Linked DNA regions of Arabidopsis thaliana. The protein of the gene in region 3 interacts with the protein of the main gene of each other region in a pairwise test. Each region holds a gene or a part of one and is shown on either strand. Other genes may lie near its edges.

Region 1 (6,424 bases), on a different chromosome or scaffold from region 3:
ACAAAAAAAGGTTGGTACCAAATTGACAAATGTCGACTACGTAACATAGTAAAAGTTCAAAGACTACGCAATCTGCCGGCCATGCAGGCTCGAGGAAAAATCTGCCCCGGGAGAACACGTGTCGGAATCAAATTTGCCACGTAATTATTGAAACTTCTCCTTTGGTAACTGCGACCTCAACGACCATTAACCGCAACGTGGGGCTTGTGTCCGACACGCGTCTCCTTAGGCCTCAAAACTAGACTTTAGAGTTAAACCTTATTTATGTCTTGTGGACAATGGTGACACCTCATTGGTTCCTCGTAATTGCCGAACTTTCTTTCAAACAACTTACGTTTAGATTGGAACATTAAGCTTTTACAGACTAGTGGTTAGGAATAGGAAAAATATTTGTGTTTTGAGTTTAAAGTTTGTGTTTTTCAAACTAGATGTTGAGTTTGGCGCATGGTTTTGAAATAAATTTAAACAGGAGAATCCATTAAACACATAACTCAACATCGAGTTTGAAAAATGTATGAGATCGGGCATTGTTCATTATCAAGAAAAGCATTTTGTATTAATGTATATAACTAATCATGTGTGATGTGGAAATTCCAACGACAAATTGGTAAGATTTCAATTCAAAGTTACAAAACAAAGACGAGATAATTAATCAAACTAGCTAGGACAATATATTGTCTCCTTACCGAAAGCTCTCCAACCACCTACTAAAGTAACTAACCATGTTTCAGTTATAATTTTATTTTTTCGTATTCCTATCAAGTATCAAATGATATAGTTAACCAACATTTATATATATATATTGAAATCACTAAACAAACAACAAAAGTAACATAGATTTTAATGGAACTAATTTTCACCTTATATTTTTACATAAGATTTGAAAGTGATGGTTAGTGACTTGTTGGTCGATGACGAATTTGTTTTCAGGTTAAATTTTAATAATAATAATATTTGAAAGAAAGATGAAGCTTTCACGTGGCACAATGTATTTGCCTACTGTCAACTTCAAAAACCTGGCAACTGCTATGCAGCTTCAGAGGACACGTGTCATGTGTTACACACGCGCTTCGTTTTTTTTCAACCTTTTGATTTTGTTTTGTTCTGTGATGTGGGACTCACATAATTCAAATCATCATCCTATTGCTTGCCGCCACGTCCCAGAGAATTTTCCGCGAAAAGCTGAGCTTCTCTCTTTCTTTCCTTAATTTTAGTTAGGTTATGAATTATTTTTGTATTAATACTAACTAACTAAAATATCATCATCACATTACATAAACATAAGATTCATCGGCGTAACGTAAGTAACAGTTAAAGCCCAAATTACAACTCTCGATCCTACTTAATGCATAGTAAACGAATGTTGACACAGAAAAAATCTTGGTCAAGACATAAAAGTAGAGAATGTAAACACGTGTCGAACATCGAGGAAGAAAACAGGTCAGAGAGGGGTCAACGTTGTTAAATGTTAGTAATAGAGAAGTGGTCCCCAGTTTCCACCAAAACCCATCTACGTACTTGTATCTCATTGGATGTCATTCCTGATTGATTTAGAATTGAAAACGTTATATTTTGTTTATTTCTAATTGTTGATTGAATATCTTATAATTTTTGCCCACAAAAGAAAATTATAAGTGTATAATATATAGTTCACTCGAATTTAACATGTCCATTGTCCAATGTAGAACGTATGATCATTTCTGTTTTTCAGTTGCTTTTATTTTAAATTCCCAAAAACCCAATATTGTGTCAAACATTGGAGAATGATGTTCACTTTTATTGTATTCACAAAATGCTACTTATCAACTAAGAAAATTGTAATGTCAAACATAAGATGGTGATATTTTAAAAATAGATGTAAAATTAGTTTAGAACTGTCTGATAAGTCATAAGATTGCACGATTATAAATCATTGAATATTCCGGACACTTGTCAAGATTAAAACCATGAATAAGTTTTCAAATTCATTTTCATCATCTCAATTGTAAAACTAGGTAAGATATCCTTTAAAATCTTTGAATATTAGTTCCCCGGCCCATATAAAATCTCTTAAATATATTTATTTGAAAACTCTGACTGTTTGCACTTGCAGCATAAAAAAAGGGATGAAACAAATGGAACAAATGCAGAACAAAACTAATAGACCAGACAAGTAAAACAAACGAAACAAAACAAGTGTTGAAATGATAACTCACAAATTTGAACTTACTTTTCTAGCAAATAAGAAATTGTTCTAATTAAAAAAAAAAGCATATGCAGTCTCAAATTGTTTCTAAGAAGTATTCACGCACCAAGGTTATATTTGTAGTGACATATTCTACAATTATCACATTTTTCTCTTATGTTTCGTAGTCGCAGATGGTCAATTTTTTCTATAATAATTTGTCCTTGAACACACCAAACTTTAGAAACGATGATATATACCGTATTGTCACGCTCACAATGAAACAAACGCGATGAATCGTCATCACCAGCTAAAAGCCTAAAACACCATCTTAGTTTTCACTCAGATAAAAAGATTATTTGTTTCCAACCTTTCTATTGAATTGATTAGCAGTGATGACGTAATTAGTGATAGTTTATAGTAAAACAAATGGAAGTGGTAATAAATTTACACAACAAAATATGGTAAGAATCTATAAAATAAGAGGTTAAGAGATCTCATGTTATATTAAATGATTGAAAGAAAAACAAACTATTGGTTGATTTCCATATGTAATAGTAAGTTGTGATGAAAGTGATGACGTAATTAGTTGTATTTATAGTAAAACAAATTAAAATGGTAAGGTAAATTTCCACAACAAAACTTGGTAAAAATCTTAAAAAAAAAAAAAGAGGTTTAGAGATCGCATGCGTGTCATCAAAGGTTCTTTTTCACTTTAGGTCTGAGTAGTGTTAGACTTTGATTGGTGCACGTAAGTGTTTCGTATCGCGATTTAGGAGAAGTACGTTTTACACGTGGACACAATCAACGGTCAAGATTTCGTCGTCCAGATAGAGGAGCGATACGTCACGCCATTCAACAATCTCCTCTTCTTCATTCCTTCATTTTGATTTTGAGTTTTGATCTGCCCGTTCAAAAGTCTCGGTCATCTGCCCGTAAATATAAAGATGATTATATTTATTTATATCTTCTGGTGAAAGAAGCTAATATAAAGCTTCCATGGCTAATCTTGTTTAAGCTTCTCTTCTTCTTCTCTCTCCTGTGTCTCGTTCACTAGTTTTTTTTCGGGGGAGAGTGATGGAGTGTGTTTGTTGAATAGTTTTGACGATCACATGGCTGAGATTTGTTACGAGAACGAGACTATGATGATTGAAACGACGGCGACGGTGGTGAAGAAGGCAACGACGACAACGAGGAGACGAGAACGGAGCTCGTCTCAAGCAGCGAGAAGAAGGAGAATGGAGATCCGGAGGTTTAAGTTTGTTTCCGGCGAACAAGAACCTGTCTTCGTCGACGGTGACTTACAGAGGCGGAGGAGAAGAGAATCCACCGTCGCAGCCTCCACCTCCACCGTGTTTTACGAAACGGCGAAGGAAGTTGTCGTCCTATGCGAGTCTCTTAGTTCAACGGTTGTGGCATTGCCTGATCCTGAAGCTTATCCTAAATACGGCGTCGCTTCAGTCTGTGGAAGAAGACGTGAAATGGAAGACGCCGTCGCTGTGCATCCGTTTTTTTCCCGTCATCAGACGGAATATTCATCCACCGGATTTCACTATTGCGGCGTTTACGATGGCCATGGCTGTTCCCATGTACGACGTCGTTTTATTATAAAAATTATCCTTTAATTGACCGTTACGACGTCGGTTTTTAATTTTAATAATATGATGTTTAGGTAGCGATGAAATGTAGAGAAAGACTACACGAGCTAGTCCGTGAAGAGTTTGAAGCTGATGCTGACTGGGAAAAGTCAATGGCGCGTAGCTTCACGCGCATGGACATGGAGGTTGTTGCGTTGAACGCCGATGGTGCGGCAAAATGCCGGTGCGAGCTTCAGAGGCCGGACTGCGACGCGGTGGGATCCACTGCGGTTGTGTCTGTCCTTACGCCGGAGAAAATCATCGTGGCGAATTGCGGTGACTCACGTGCCGTTCTCTGTCGTAACGGCAAAGCCATTGCTTTATCCTCCGATCATAAGGTTTTGTTCGTTTTTTGATAATCTCTCTTGTTTCGTTTATCCATCGTTAAATGTTTATCCGTTAGATCTACGGTTATGGTTTACTCACTGTAATGAAACGAGAATTTCGTTACGTGTTGCGTTCGAAACTTACCTATTAATATTGTTTAATGCATTTTTTATTTATTATTTCATTTATTGGAAATTAGAATCTTCTTTAATGTGCATGCAACACCTGGACGACGATTAAGAATGTTTAATGACTTTTTACTTTTTAGATAGAGGATCTGATAAAGTTTATGAGTTTTAAGATTCTTTAATCCTTCGTGTCACTGTTATCAATGACTATATCATTCTCTCTCTCTCTCTTGTTTAAATTTGTTGTAACAGCCAGACCGTCCGGACGAGCTAGACCGGATTCAAGCAGCGGGTGGTCGTGTTATCTACTGGGATGGCCCACGTGTCCTTGGAGTACTTGCAATGTCACGAGCCATTGGTCAGTTAATTGATTACACTTGACGAAAACACTCTTGTCCCTATCCTAATGTTTGTACAAAGTTTTTCCGTACTTTCAATAATGATGATTATTAACTCTCGTTTCGCCGCGGATTTTTTTTTTTTTTTTCAGGAGATAATTACTTGAAGCCGTATGTAATCAGCAGACCGGAGGTAACCGTGACGGACCGGGCCAACGGAGACGATTTTCTTATTCTCGCAAGTGACGGTCTTTGGGACGTTGTTTCAAACGAAACTGCATGTAGCGTCGTTCGAATGTGTTTGAGAGGAAAAGTCAATGGTCAAGTATCATCATCACCGGAAAGGGAAATGACAGGTGTCGGCGCCGGGAATGTGGTGGTTGGAGGAGGAGATTTGCCAGATAAAGCGTGTGAGGAGGCGTCGCTGTTGCTGACGAGGCTTGCGTTGGCTAGACAAAGTTCGGACAACGTAAGTGTTGTGGTGGTTGATCTACGACGAGACACGTAGTTGTATTTGTCTCTCTCGTAATGTTTGTTGTTTTTTGTCCTGAGTCATCGACTTTTGGGCTTTTTCTTTTAACCTTTTTTGCTCTTCGGTGTAAGACAACGAAGGGTTTTTAATTTAGCTTGACTATGGGTTATGTCAGTCACTGTGTTGAATCGCGGTTTAGATCTACAAAGATTTTCACCAGTAGTGAAAATGGTAAAAAGCCGTGAAATGTGAAAGACTTGAGTTCAATTTAATTTTAAATTTAATAGAATCAGTTGATCATAACAAAATCTTACCTTTTTAAATTTATTTTTTGTTATATATAGGACGATGTTTATAGGAATATTAGAAATGTTAGACTGATATCTTTAAGAATAGGAAAAGAACCAAATATTTACTAAGGAATTTGTTTTCAAGTGTATTTTGTAACTAAACAAGGCAAACAATCGGTATAGAATACTTCAAAGGTTAATTGGGAGGATTCAATATTATAACATTTTTTTCTTATTATGTAAAACGTTTTTTTTTTTTTTTTGCCAACATAATCTATAAAACATGTTTATATAACTCTTCATCAAACGGGTATGGTTCACACTTTATCATGTGACATATTAGAAGATGTCGATCATTAAGACTGAACATTGTTTAAAGTACTTAGAAATCAAAATGATGATTCAAGCTTTGATAACTTCCAACCGTTTCCAACCGCCAAACTTTGGTAACTTTTTTAGAATCGAACTCCTAGCTATCGCCTAACGATTTTTTTGAACATTCTCGTTTTTTTTTCTTTTAAATGTCTTTGCAATTGCATAAACTGGTTTTTTTTTTTTTTTTTTTTTTTTGTCGGAAACTGGTTTTCTTTTATCATCCTGTTTTCAACTTTTATTCAATTTTTTTTTTCTTTTTGAAATTGAAAAACTGGGCTCGCTTTCAAGGTCAGAGAGTTATATATGTCCATGGGCCTATTTAACACTCCTATAAGCCCAAATATAGATATATTCCATTTTTGTCGCCGGCGATTTCCTCACCGTTAAATCGACGTTCGAAATTCCGAGGAGAGGAATCATACCATGGAATCGCACCACGCGTCTCTAGGTCGCCGTACTGTAAGGATATTTCCGATATGGCCGTCTTTATCTTCATCTGAAGACAGTTTCTTACATCGGTGCTTTTTTGTTGTTATTAATTTCTGTGATCTTGTAGTTGGAAGAGATTCGTCAAAAGAGAGCAGCTCAAAGGCTAAGCAAAGCTTCTTCAGGTCCAGATCTTAGTGAAATTCCCAATCCTGCCGGTAATTTTATTCATCTCCAATTTCAATGTTTTGCCATCTCCTTTTCCAC
Region 2 (5,180 bases), on a different chromosome or scaffold from region 3:
TCATGTATAGACTTTCGTTTTATTTGTTAATACGGCTCAATCATAGACTTATGTGGATCTTTTGATAGTATTTCTATGTTTAATCAAATCAACCCCTGAAAAGATCAAAGGCTTAATGATATGTATAAATTCATATTGATGTATAAATAGAAAAGCTGTGGTGGAGGAACTAGCCATGTTGGGAGCAAGAGTTCACACATGTGCCAGAGACGAAACTCAGCTTCAAGAAAGCTTACGTGAATGGCAAGCAAAAGGGTTACAAGTCACCACTTCTGTTTGCGATGTTTCTTCTCGTGACCAGCGAGAGAAACTCATGGAAACTGTTTCCTCTCTCTTCCAAGGAAAACTCAGCATCCTCGTAAGTGTGTGTGTGTATATATATAAGCTTCTCCTCCTCCTCGTCTATGAGCTTGGATCGACAATGACCAAAATCATGTTGAATTTTGTTTGCTTCGTTTGTATAGGTACCCAATGTGGGAATAGGTGTACTAAAGCCGACGACTGAGTGTACAGCAGAAGAGTTCTCATTTATAATAGCTACAAATCTGGAGTCAACTTTCCATTTCTCGCAACTCGCGCATCCTTTATTGAAAGCCTCTGGTTCAGGGAACATTGTGCTCATGTCTTCCGTGGCTGGAGTTGTAAATTTGGGTAATACATCAATCTATGGAGCAACCAAAGGTATAATTATACGCATACTCGAACAATTTATGATTCTTTGCTTCTATCGCGACTTAAATAAATGTATACGCATTCTAGGAGCCATGAATCAGCTGGCGAGAAATTTAGCATGCGAGTGGGCGAGTGATAATATAAGGGCTAATTCTGTTTGTCCATGGTTCATTACAACTCCGTCAACTAAAGATGTAAGACAATGAATAAGAAAATACATTTCATTTATAGTATGAAAAAATGGTTTAACTATTTCTTACGAAGTTTATGTGAAAATGTTTCAGTTCCTCGGTGATAAAGATGTAAAAGAAAAGGTGGAGAGTGTGACACCATTGAGACGTGTTGGAGAGGCAAATGAAGTATCATCGCTTGTTGCATTTCTATGTCTTCCCGCAGCTTCTTATATAACAGGTCAAACCATTTGCGTTGATGGAGGTTTCACTATTAACGGCTTCTCTTTGCCTTAAACACGTATATATGCATATATTCATGCTTAAATTTATGTGATTAATTAGTGGTTTCACTGCATATTAATTCATACAAGTTTTATATGTAACTTATGTTGAGGGAGCTCACTCCGTTCATGCCTTCTAATGTTTGGACGAAGAACTCAATCTTTTATCTTATCGGATAAGAAGTTACTTGTGTTCACATTTGATGTTTGTTCGTTTCCAATCGTATTGTGACTTTTGATATATAAAATAATTATTGTATATATTCTACTTATGATATATGATTATATAGTCATGTAATGATGACCGTACGATTTTCAACTCTAGTATCCCTATCTTTAGGGGGTTATGGCTAAAAGCCTAAAAAGATTACTTTTGCTAAAGGAGTAAAGATTATGTTCATAATTTTTTTTAATTTATATAAATTTATTATTATTATTCTCACGCATAACACAAAACAAAGAAAGAATTATCTTCATAATTATATATATATATATATATATATTTGATATAAATTTATTATTATTATTATTCTCACGCATAGCACAAAACAAGTTTCTTCTATATATCAACTAAACTAAAAGACATGTCGTTGGAAACATACTCATATATCATATTCAAGGACTCATAATAATAGACATGTAAACAAAATATTCCTTAAATTTTCTAAATTCAAAAACAAACTATATATGTAACTTGTTATTTAATCTTCTTGGGTATATAAAACTTTATCGCATTTCTTGGATATTTGGACGATGAGAATTCAAATTGCTTTGTCGATGATAAATTTGTTTAATAATTGTTCAGACTGCCATCACAACATAGCTGATTACTGTCATATAAGTCATACATATTATATTTCCGATGATTCTCTGGACTCTCAAGACAATAATAATAAAAATTCAGATATAAGTTTATTAAGGTTTTCTTTGTTAACGTGTTTACTGTCTAGGGACAAACATAAATTATTAGCACTAAACTTGTTAGGTTTTGAAAGTAAACACTGATTTATACCTAAACTTAGGTTATTCATGTAATCAAATGTGAAAACTAACGTAATGAAATTCCTCTAGTTATTTAAATACAGAAAACAAAACCTACCTTGCGGGGAAAAGCATCGTGGCGCGAAAGGAAACTTCCTATGATCCGTCATCCGTGCCGTCTCAATTTGATTGGACCACGAATCTCGCACTCGATACTGACGCCTTACGTGGATTACTTTTTTTATAGAAAGAATTTAAAATTGTTTCTGAAGAGGCAGGTTTTGTGTATAAAATAGAGAATGCAAGTAACGTGTAATGACATTATTTCTCAAATTGAATGGTTTTCGAGCATTTTTATTAACCAGTGAAGCAACCAAAACAGGAATCACCAGTTCTTGAAAGAGTTCATCAAAAAAGAAAACATTTCTTGAAACATCTAAGAAAGAGTTTTGTTCTTCTTGATCAGAAATACAGAGCAAAATCCATTTGAAGACATCAAAGTTTAAGGTTTTTTTCCCCGGATATGGCCGAGATATGTTACGAAGTAGTGACCGACGCATGTCCGTCGTCGGTTTATGAATCAACGCCGGCACATTCACGGCGGAGGCCGAGATTCCAAACGGTGATGCATGAAGATTGGGAGAAGAATTGTAAGCGTAGTAAACAGGAGGCTTTAGCTACGAGATACTCTTCAATTCCTCGAAGCTCTCGGGAGGATTTCTCTGACCAAAATGTCGACGTATCCAGTCCAAGATACGGTGTTTCTTCGGTGTGCGGTAGAAGAAGAGAGATGGAAGATGCGGTGGCAATTCATCCTTCATTTTCTTCTCCGAAGAATTCGGAATTTCCTCAACACTACTTTGGTGTGTATGACGGCCATGGTTGTTCCCACGTACGACTCCGTTACCATGCATTCTTACGTTTTCCGAAATTCTATGTTTTCAGTTTTAGCTGATACGAAATCTTTTTTTTTTCCTTAGGTTGCAGCAAGGTGTAGAGAGAGGCTTCACAAGCTGGTGCAAGAAGAACTAAGTTCAGATATGGAAGATGAAGAAGAATGGAAAACGACGATGGAGCGTAGCTTCACACGCATGGATAAGGAAGTTGTATCGTGGGGTGATTCCGTCGTGACTGCAAATTGCAAGTGTGATCTACAAACACCGGCTTGTGATTCCGTCGGATCAACCGCTGTTGTCTCAGTCATTACGCCAGATAAGATCGTTGTCGCCAATTGTGGCGATTCCAGAGCAGTTCTCTGCCGCAATGGGAAACCAGTCCCTTTATCAACCGATCACAAGGTCAGTTCCGTTCAAAACATGTTCAGTTTCATTTAAGCAATGATTGGATTTGTGGATTAACTTGGAGATTGTGTTCTTTGTAATGAAACACAGCCTGATCGGCCAGACGAATTGGATCGAATCGAAGGAGCTGGTGGACGAGTCATATATTGGGACTGTCCAAGAGTTCTCGGAGTCTTAGCAATGTCACGAGCAATAGGAGACAACTATTTGAAACCTTACGTGAGTTGCGAGCCGGAGGTAACCATAACGGACAGGAGAGACGATGACTGCCTCATACTAGCTAGTGATGGTTTATGGGATGTTGTGTCAAACGAGACCGCCTGCTCTGTAGCGCGTATGTGTCTCCGTGGTGGTGGGAGAAGACAAGATAATGAGGATCCGGCGATTTCGGACAAGGCTTGTACGGAAGCGTCAGTATTGCTAACAAAGCTGGCGTTGGCAAGGAACAGTAGTGACAACGTCAGTGTCGTTGTGATTGATCTCAGAAGATAAGGACACGTAAGTGGACACTAGTCGAAGAGGAAGACAATTTTGCTTTAACTTTCTATATCAGTTTTGCTTTTTGGTTATTCTTGGAATACGTTGGTTGTATACAAAATTAACCCGATTTTATGGAAACCCCGAAAAAGGGTTAATTAATAGAAATGATAAGAATTATTCTTGTCAACCCTAATCCTGTTTCGTGTATGCTTATAATCTTAAATCAAATCAAATTAAGAAGGTCGACATGTAAAAGCATTTTGCTTTAAAAAAGATTGTCAGACTATACTATACCTTTTACTTTTAGGCATTAAGATACTTTAAGAGGTACTTAGTCTCTGCCGCTAGGCAAAGACATGAGAGTAGATCATAGGTTCTAAATGCAATTATGAGTATTAGCAGTATCTAAAGAATAAGAAAAACAGTAAGCAGTAGTAACAACAAGTCCAATAGAAACGAGGTCACGTATAAATTTCAACATCGAATCGACTTCAGACTAGCAGCTTTGATTGTACAACCCAAATTGTAGCAAATAATGATGTTCTTATGACTAAAGTTGAGGAAATGGTAGAGACAAAACAAAAGAAAGAAGGTTTTTTGAGAACAAGACCTCTCTCGGGAATCGAATTTCACGTTTGTTTGTTGTCAGGTTTCTTTTAGGGCCTTAAGTTTTCTGTAACCTTTATCGGTGCCAAAGATCCTGAAGTAACATAGATAAACATATTTACATGTTTATTATAGTTATGACTTCTGTTAAAGTAAGAAACAGAGTTCAATAATTTACCAGTCCATGTAAACAAACGTTGATGAGTAGTTGCCAGACTTTGTGTAGAGTAATCGATGATGGTAGTCATGGAAGTCAGCACTGTAAGCAAATGATTCCCACATTAATATTAAAGATCTGTTAGGTTTAAGGTGTTGCTCTTTCAAGGCAATCACAGGTTAGAAGTCTTATCTTACCCGCCGTATAGAGGAAGAAAATTCGAGGGGCTCCATGGGAAATGATAACCACAATGTGCCTCAACTGTCTCAATAACTCTGAGCATCATCCATAACCAAAGGGTGATCAGGTGAGGCCCGGTGAGAGCCGGACCAACAATGGTAGCAAAACCAAGGAACAGAATTTCAGCGGGATGAGCATATTCTGATGTCAAACCAAACGGTGTCGCGTACCTGTATATAAGTAATACCATAAGATTGTTTATTGAGGACCATGAGTGAACTAACATTGTCAAGCACAAAAAAGATGGTGAGTACTGATAGCTTACTCATGATGCACACTGTGCACGTTC
Region 3 (4,128 bases):
CACTCACACTCCCCCACCAACACCCAAGCTTTGAAATAGCAAGCCCCACCAACACCCAAGCTTTGAAATAGCAAGGCCCAATAGTCCATTCATAAAGGCCCAATTCCCGAAAAAACATGAAAATTTCCAATCTTCACCGTTATATTTAGATCAATAGAACCTCTATTTTGTCTTTCACCAACTTGTTCAAAATAAATTATATCTGTTGATTCGGTCGGTTTTTGATAAAAACACACCAAAGTATTATAGAGTAAACCACTCCATTAGTTCAACAGCTCAATGATTCAACGGACATCATAAATTCATAACCTCCGAACAGATTTGAGTCAAACGGCCATGAAATTCACGAGATCTACAGTTTAGGTCATCATACTTTCTGTTCTGAGTGTAAAATACCTTCCAACCTAATAATATTATACTAAAGTATTGATATTAATTAGTTTAGAACTTCAAATTAAGAATCTTACATGATGCCCTTTTACTATGCATTATGCAAAATGGACAAAGAATTATCAAGAAAATTTTCAAACATGTATTTAGTCTAACTTTTGTTGTCAGCAATACAAATCAGTATATTTAGTAACTAAACCAACTGAGTCAACAATTTAAAACCATTATTTCAAAGATTCCTAATTGTAAAAATGTAGAAATAACCTTCATTTTATTTCTCTTCATAAAAGAGTAGGAGAAAAGAGACAATTACAATCACGGAAGAAAGAAACCACACGAGCATATTATTCCGATTCTTTATATTTTTATTATTATTATTGCAATGCTAAAAGCCTTAAAGATTAAAAACTAATCCATAACGATCCATTTTTTTCTTAATCCAATGATTCATAACTATAACTACGATTAGTTTATTGATTAGCTTAAACATATAGAGCTTACTTCATCATTTTCTTTGTGAGCTTAGCAAGTGAAGTAAGGTTATACCGAATAATGTTATCAACAAAAAATATTGTATCTTCCTCGCTAGTTCCTTCCGGCACATCCACCACGTAACTCTCCACCACCACCGTCTTCTTTGCCATATCCTCCGGCGACGCGACCACCTTCGTTTTCGATTTGTAATTAACAAGCCTATGGTTACCGCCAATAATACTTACCACCATCACGTGAGACTCATCATCTAGCTCTTCGAGCCTCTCCGTGCTGAAATCCGCCGGGAAGCCGGAGACTAACGTCACGTCCCGGACGGAGCCTTTTCCTTCTCCTCCTTTGCCGCCGCCGCCGCCAGAGCGCATGGTGCAACTTTTGACGAAACGTTGATAAGCTTGTGGTTTGTCGAAACTACGTAGGATGGACCACACTAGTGGTAATGGTGCTTCAATGGTCTCGACTACGCTAGAGCGACATCGTTTTTGCTTAGAACTTTCCATTTTCTGTTTTGTTTTTCTAATGGGTTTGTCTTTTATCGACGTGTATTTTCGTGTCTTACTTTAGAATTTTCGTATTCACTTGTTTTAAAGCATATCGAACGAATCTACGTACATATAAATGAAGGCAAGCCACCGACTAAAATATTTTTATAGTGTTTTATATTGTTTAATTTATTTACGAATTCTTCATGTAATATTAAACTTTAGAGTTCGATTCGAATTCTTCTTACTATATACTAACCAAAAAACATTTTACAATATAAACTTGTACACAAGTATTGACTGCCTTGTATAGTGAAAAATTACACAATCTTGTTGGCATATTTAGAAACTTTCTTTTGCTTTTTGATAAAAGGCTTGCATATTCTGGAACTTGGTTTTATCAAAAAGATTAACAAAACCATCTGTGAAGGGTATTCTGACAAGAGTGATAGGGAATATGGTTTTAACAAACCCTCTTTGAAGGTTTTTCTTTTGACTATATCAACCATTTAAACAGAAAGAGAGATATACGAGTATCTTTTCACGAAGAATTAAATATCTTACCAACTGATAAAAATTACCAATATTATATTAAAATCTAGTCGGTCTATTTTGGAAATTTGCTGCAGCAATGTTTTGGAGCTAAATATAGATAGATGTGTCATTGCCCACGAGGTAAATACAGATGTCATTTAAACCGGAAAAGCACACAATGGAATTTAGCGAAACACACACTTGTTTACAAACATAACAGTGTTTCTCTTAATTGGTTGCCGACCAGAAAAAAAAAGAATCCAATCTTTTTTCCTTCATAAGTGTAATGTTCTACGTATCCAATCCGAGAGCCATGCAAGTTCTACATATCCAGGGTAGGCATATTCAATGTTCCATCAGTCTATTGCCTATTAGAAATAAGGCCCGTATAAGCCCAAACTTTAATGATGATATTTTCCATTTATACATTTATGCTTCACCCCACACAGCACAAAATCCATTCTGTTTTGGTTTTGGGTTTCAAACTATCCAGTCCGTTTGTTAGTCCTTTTCTTGGCTTTGGTTTTATGTTTAGCCTTCCTAGACTAAGATCATGTTTAACGGCCGGCATTGTGTCACCTCCATGGTTATATAAATAACAAAAGTTTTAGATGAAAAAAAAAACTCAATTCCAATGTGTAATCTGTAAAGACATGAGATAAAATGTAATAGATTTTTTTATATATATTTATAAGTGGATTATAAAGGTAAATTGCAAATTAAAAATGGGTAAAGATATGAAGTAAAATAGAATAGATTTCCATAAGTGTATTATAAGAATAAAAATAAAATACATGGAACAAATTATATTTGGATTTAAGTATTAAAAATATGACTTAATAAACTTATAAAATTCAAATTATTCTTCTCTTAGATATCCATCTCGAGAAACATGGACATGATGACTATTTAAAATCCAAATTTTCATAAATTGCGTCTTAGAGTTGTAGCATATATGGGAATTGAGCTCAAGCTGAAATATATACATATATTGTTGGGGCTCACAAGTCACAATCAAAAACAGAATCGCAATTTTGGTATTTCTCAAACTTGCTTTCTTTATGGTAAGCAAGTGAAACCAATGCCCATTGCCACCCTCTGAACAATCTTATCGGCACCATTGATAAATTGTTTTGCAACCGTATCACAACTTTCTGTGTTATTAAGAATAAAAAAAGTTCGAAGGTAATGGAAGTTGTTCTAACAAATGGAGTTCACTACCTTGTAGGTTAATAAAAAAAAAACCTTTGATTGAATGTCTATTTATCCGGTCTAACAGAAAAGAATACGTCAAATTTTTTATTTTTTTTTATCTCTATCAGTAAAATTATTTATTGATGATCAACAAATTTTTACACTCAAAGAAAATGAGACGGGCGCAAGTAAGCCGAGTTAATTAGCAACTACAGTAGATATGATAGATCAAAACTTCCGATTTGTAACAAACCGATACTTCCAAACTCATGAATAACATATAGTATACTAGTATATAAAGAAACAGGGCAACATGGAATCATATTAAAACAAGCTTATGCTAAAACTCATGGCTCCAAGCCATCATTATTAAATACTATGGTCTATGGCTAATATATAGCTAGCTACAAAAGCTACAAACATATATTAATTGACATATATGTACATCACTATATATAGCCTCTCTCCGGATTCTAGGGTTTCGGAAAACTCTTTCTACCGACTCGATCGTTTTAACTTAATCAATTGCCGGTTCGAATCCTAAGTTCGTTTTATATAAATCCTAATTTGGTAATGCTAGCGCTTATTCAAAATGTTCGTTTTTTTTCCTAATTGCTTGAGTACTTATTTTAAACTCATGAGCTGTTTATTTACATTATTGGGCTACACTCGCTAGACCTTGTAATCTAGTTCCCCATATTATCATGCTTCCAATAGAAAATAATTATATAATAAAATACATATATACATGTACATATTTGTATAGGTGTGCATATATATAACTATATATACATAAAAGTAATGCTTAATTGTATATACATTTAGTGTAAGAAATATTATTTACTTACTTGTGCATTTCAACATGTATTCCAGTGTATGTTTATACATCATGATGCATGCAACGTACAGAAATGTTGTCATTTAAATACATTCACAGTTGGGACACACTCTAATTATTATAGCTAATTAATAACAAAAAAAGCTACATTTGAAAGATATATTATTCTCTCTTAATCATATCCAATTTTGAGTACAA

Evidence for each region.
Region 1: the proteins of PYL13 (region 3) and HAI1 interact in a two-hybrid assay, tested with the Arabidopsis thaliana proteins (one study listed by BioGRID).
Region 2: the proteins of PYL13 (region 3) and HAI3 interact in binary tests that used the Arabidopsis thaliana proteins (3 or more experiments, as listed by UniProt).

The regions. Positions count from the first base shown.
Region 1 is NC_003076.8:23,893,350-23,899,773, reverse strand, and holds HAI1 (PP2C protein (Clade A protein phosphatases type 2C)), read left to right. Parts: upstream 1-2,834; 5' UTR 2,835-3,276; coding exon 3,277-3,753; intron 3,754-3,836; coding exon 3,837-4,139; intron 4,140-4,508; coding exon 4,509-4,614; coding exon of another isoform or gene 4,615-4,637; exon of another isoform or gene 4,638-4,746; coding exon 4,747-5,102; 3' UTR 5,103-5,370; downstream 5,371-6,424. Other genes in the region: AT5G59210 (myosin heavy chain-like protein), read left to right, coding at 6,155-6,190, 6,288-6,375. UniProt on the Arabidopsis thaliana protein: Acts as a negative regulator of abscisic acid (ABA) signaling for stomatal closure in leaves, and controls water loss during leaf senescence. Activated by the NAC029/NAP transcription factor during ABA signaling in senescing leaves.
Region 2 is NC_003071.7:12,606,225-12,611,404, forward strand, and holds HAI3 (highly ABA-induced PP2C protein 3), read left to right. Parts: upstream 1-2,450; 5' UTR 2,451-2,630; coding exon 2,631-2,999; intron 3,000-3,087; coding exon 3,088-3,405; intron 3,406-3,498; coding exon 3,499-3,900; 3' UTR 3,901-4,126; downstream 4,127-5,180. Other genes in the region: AT2G29370 (NAD(P)-binding Rossmann-fold superfamily protein), read left to right, coding at 151-358, 465-681, 760-866, 957-1,139; SMO2-2 (sterol 4-alpha-methyl-oxidase 2-2), read right to left, coding at 4,534-4,588, 4,673-4,789, 4,849-5,061, 5,157-5,180.
Region 3 is NC_003075.7:10,251,613-10,255,740, reverse strand, and holds PYL13 (PYR1-like 13), read right to left. Parts: upstream 1,383-4,128; coding exon 888-1,382; downstream 1-887.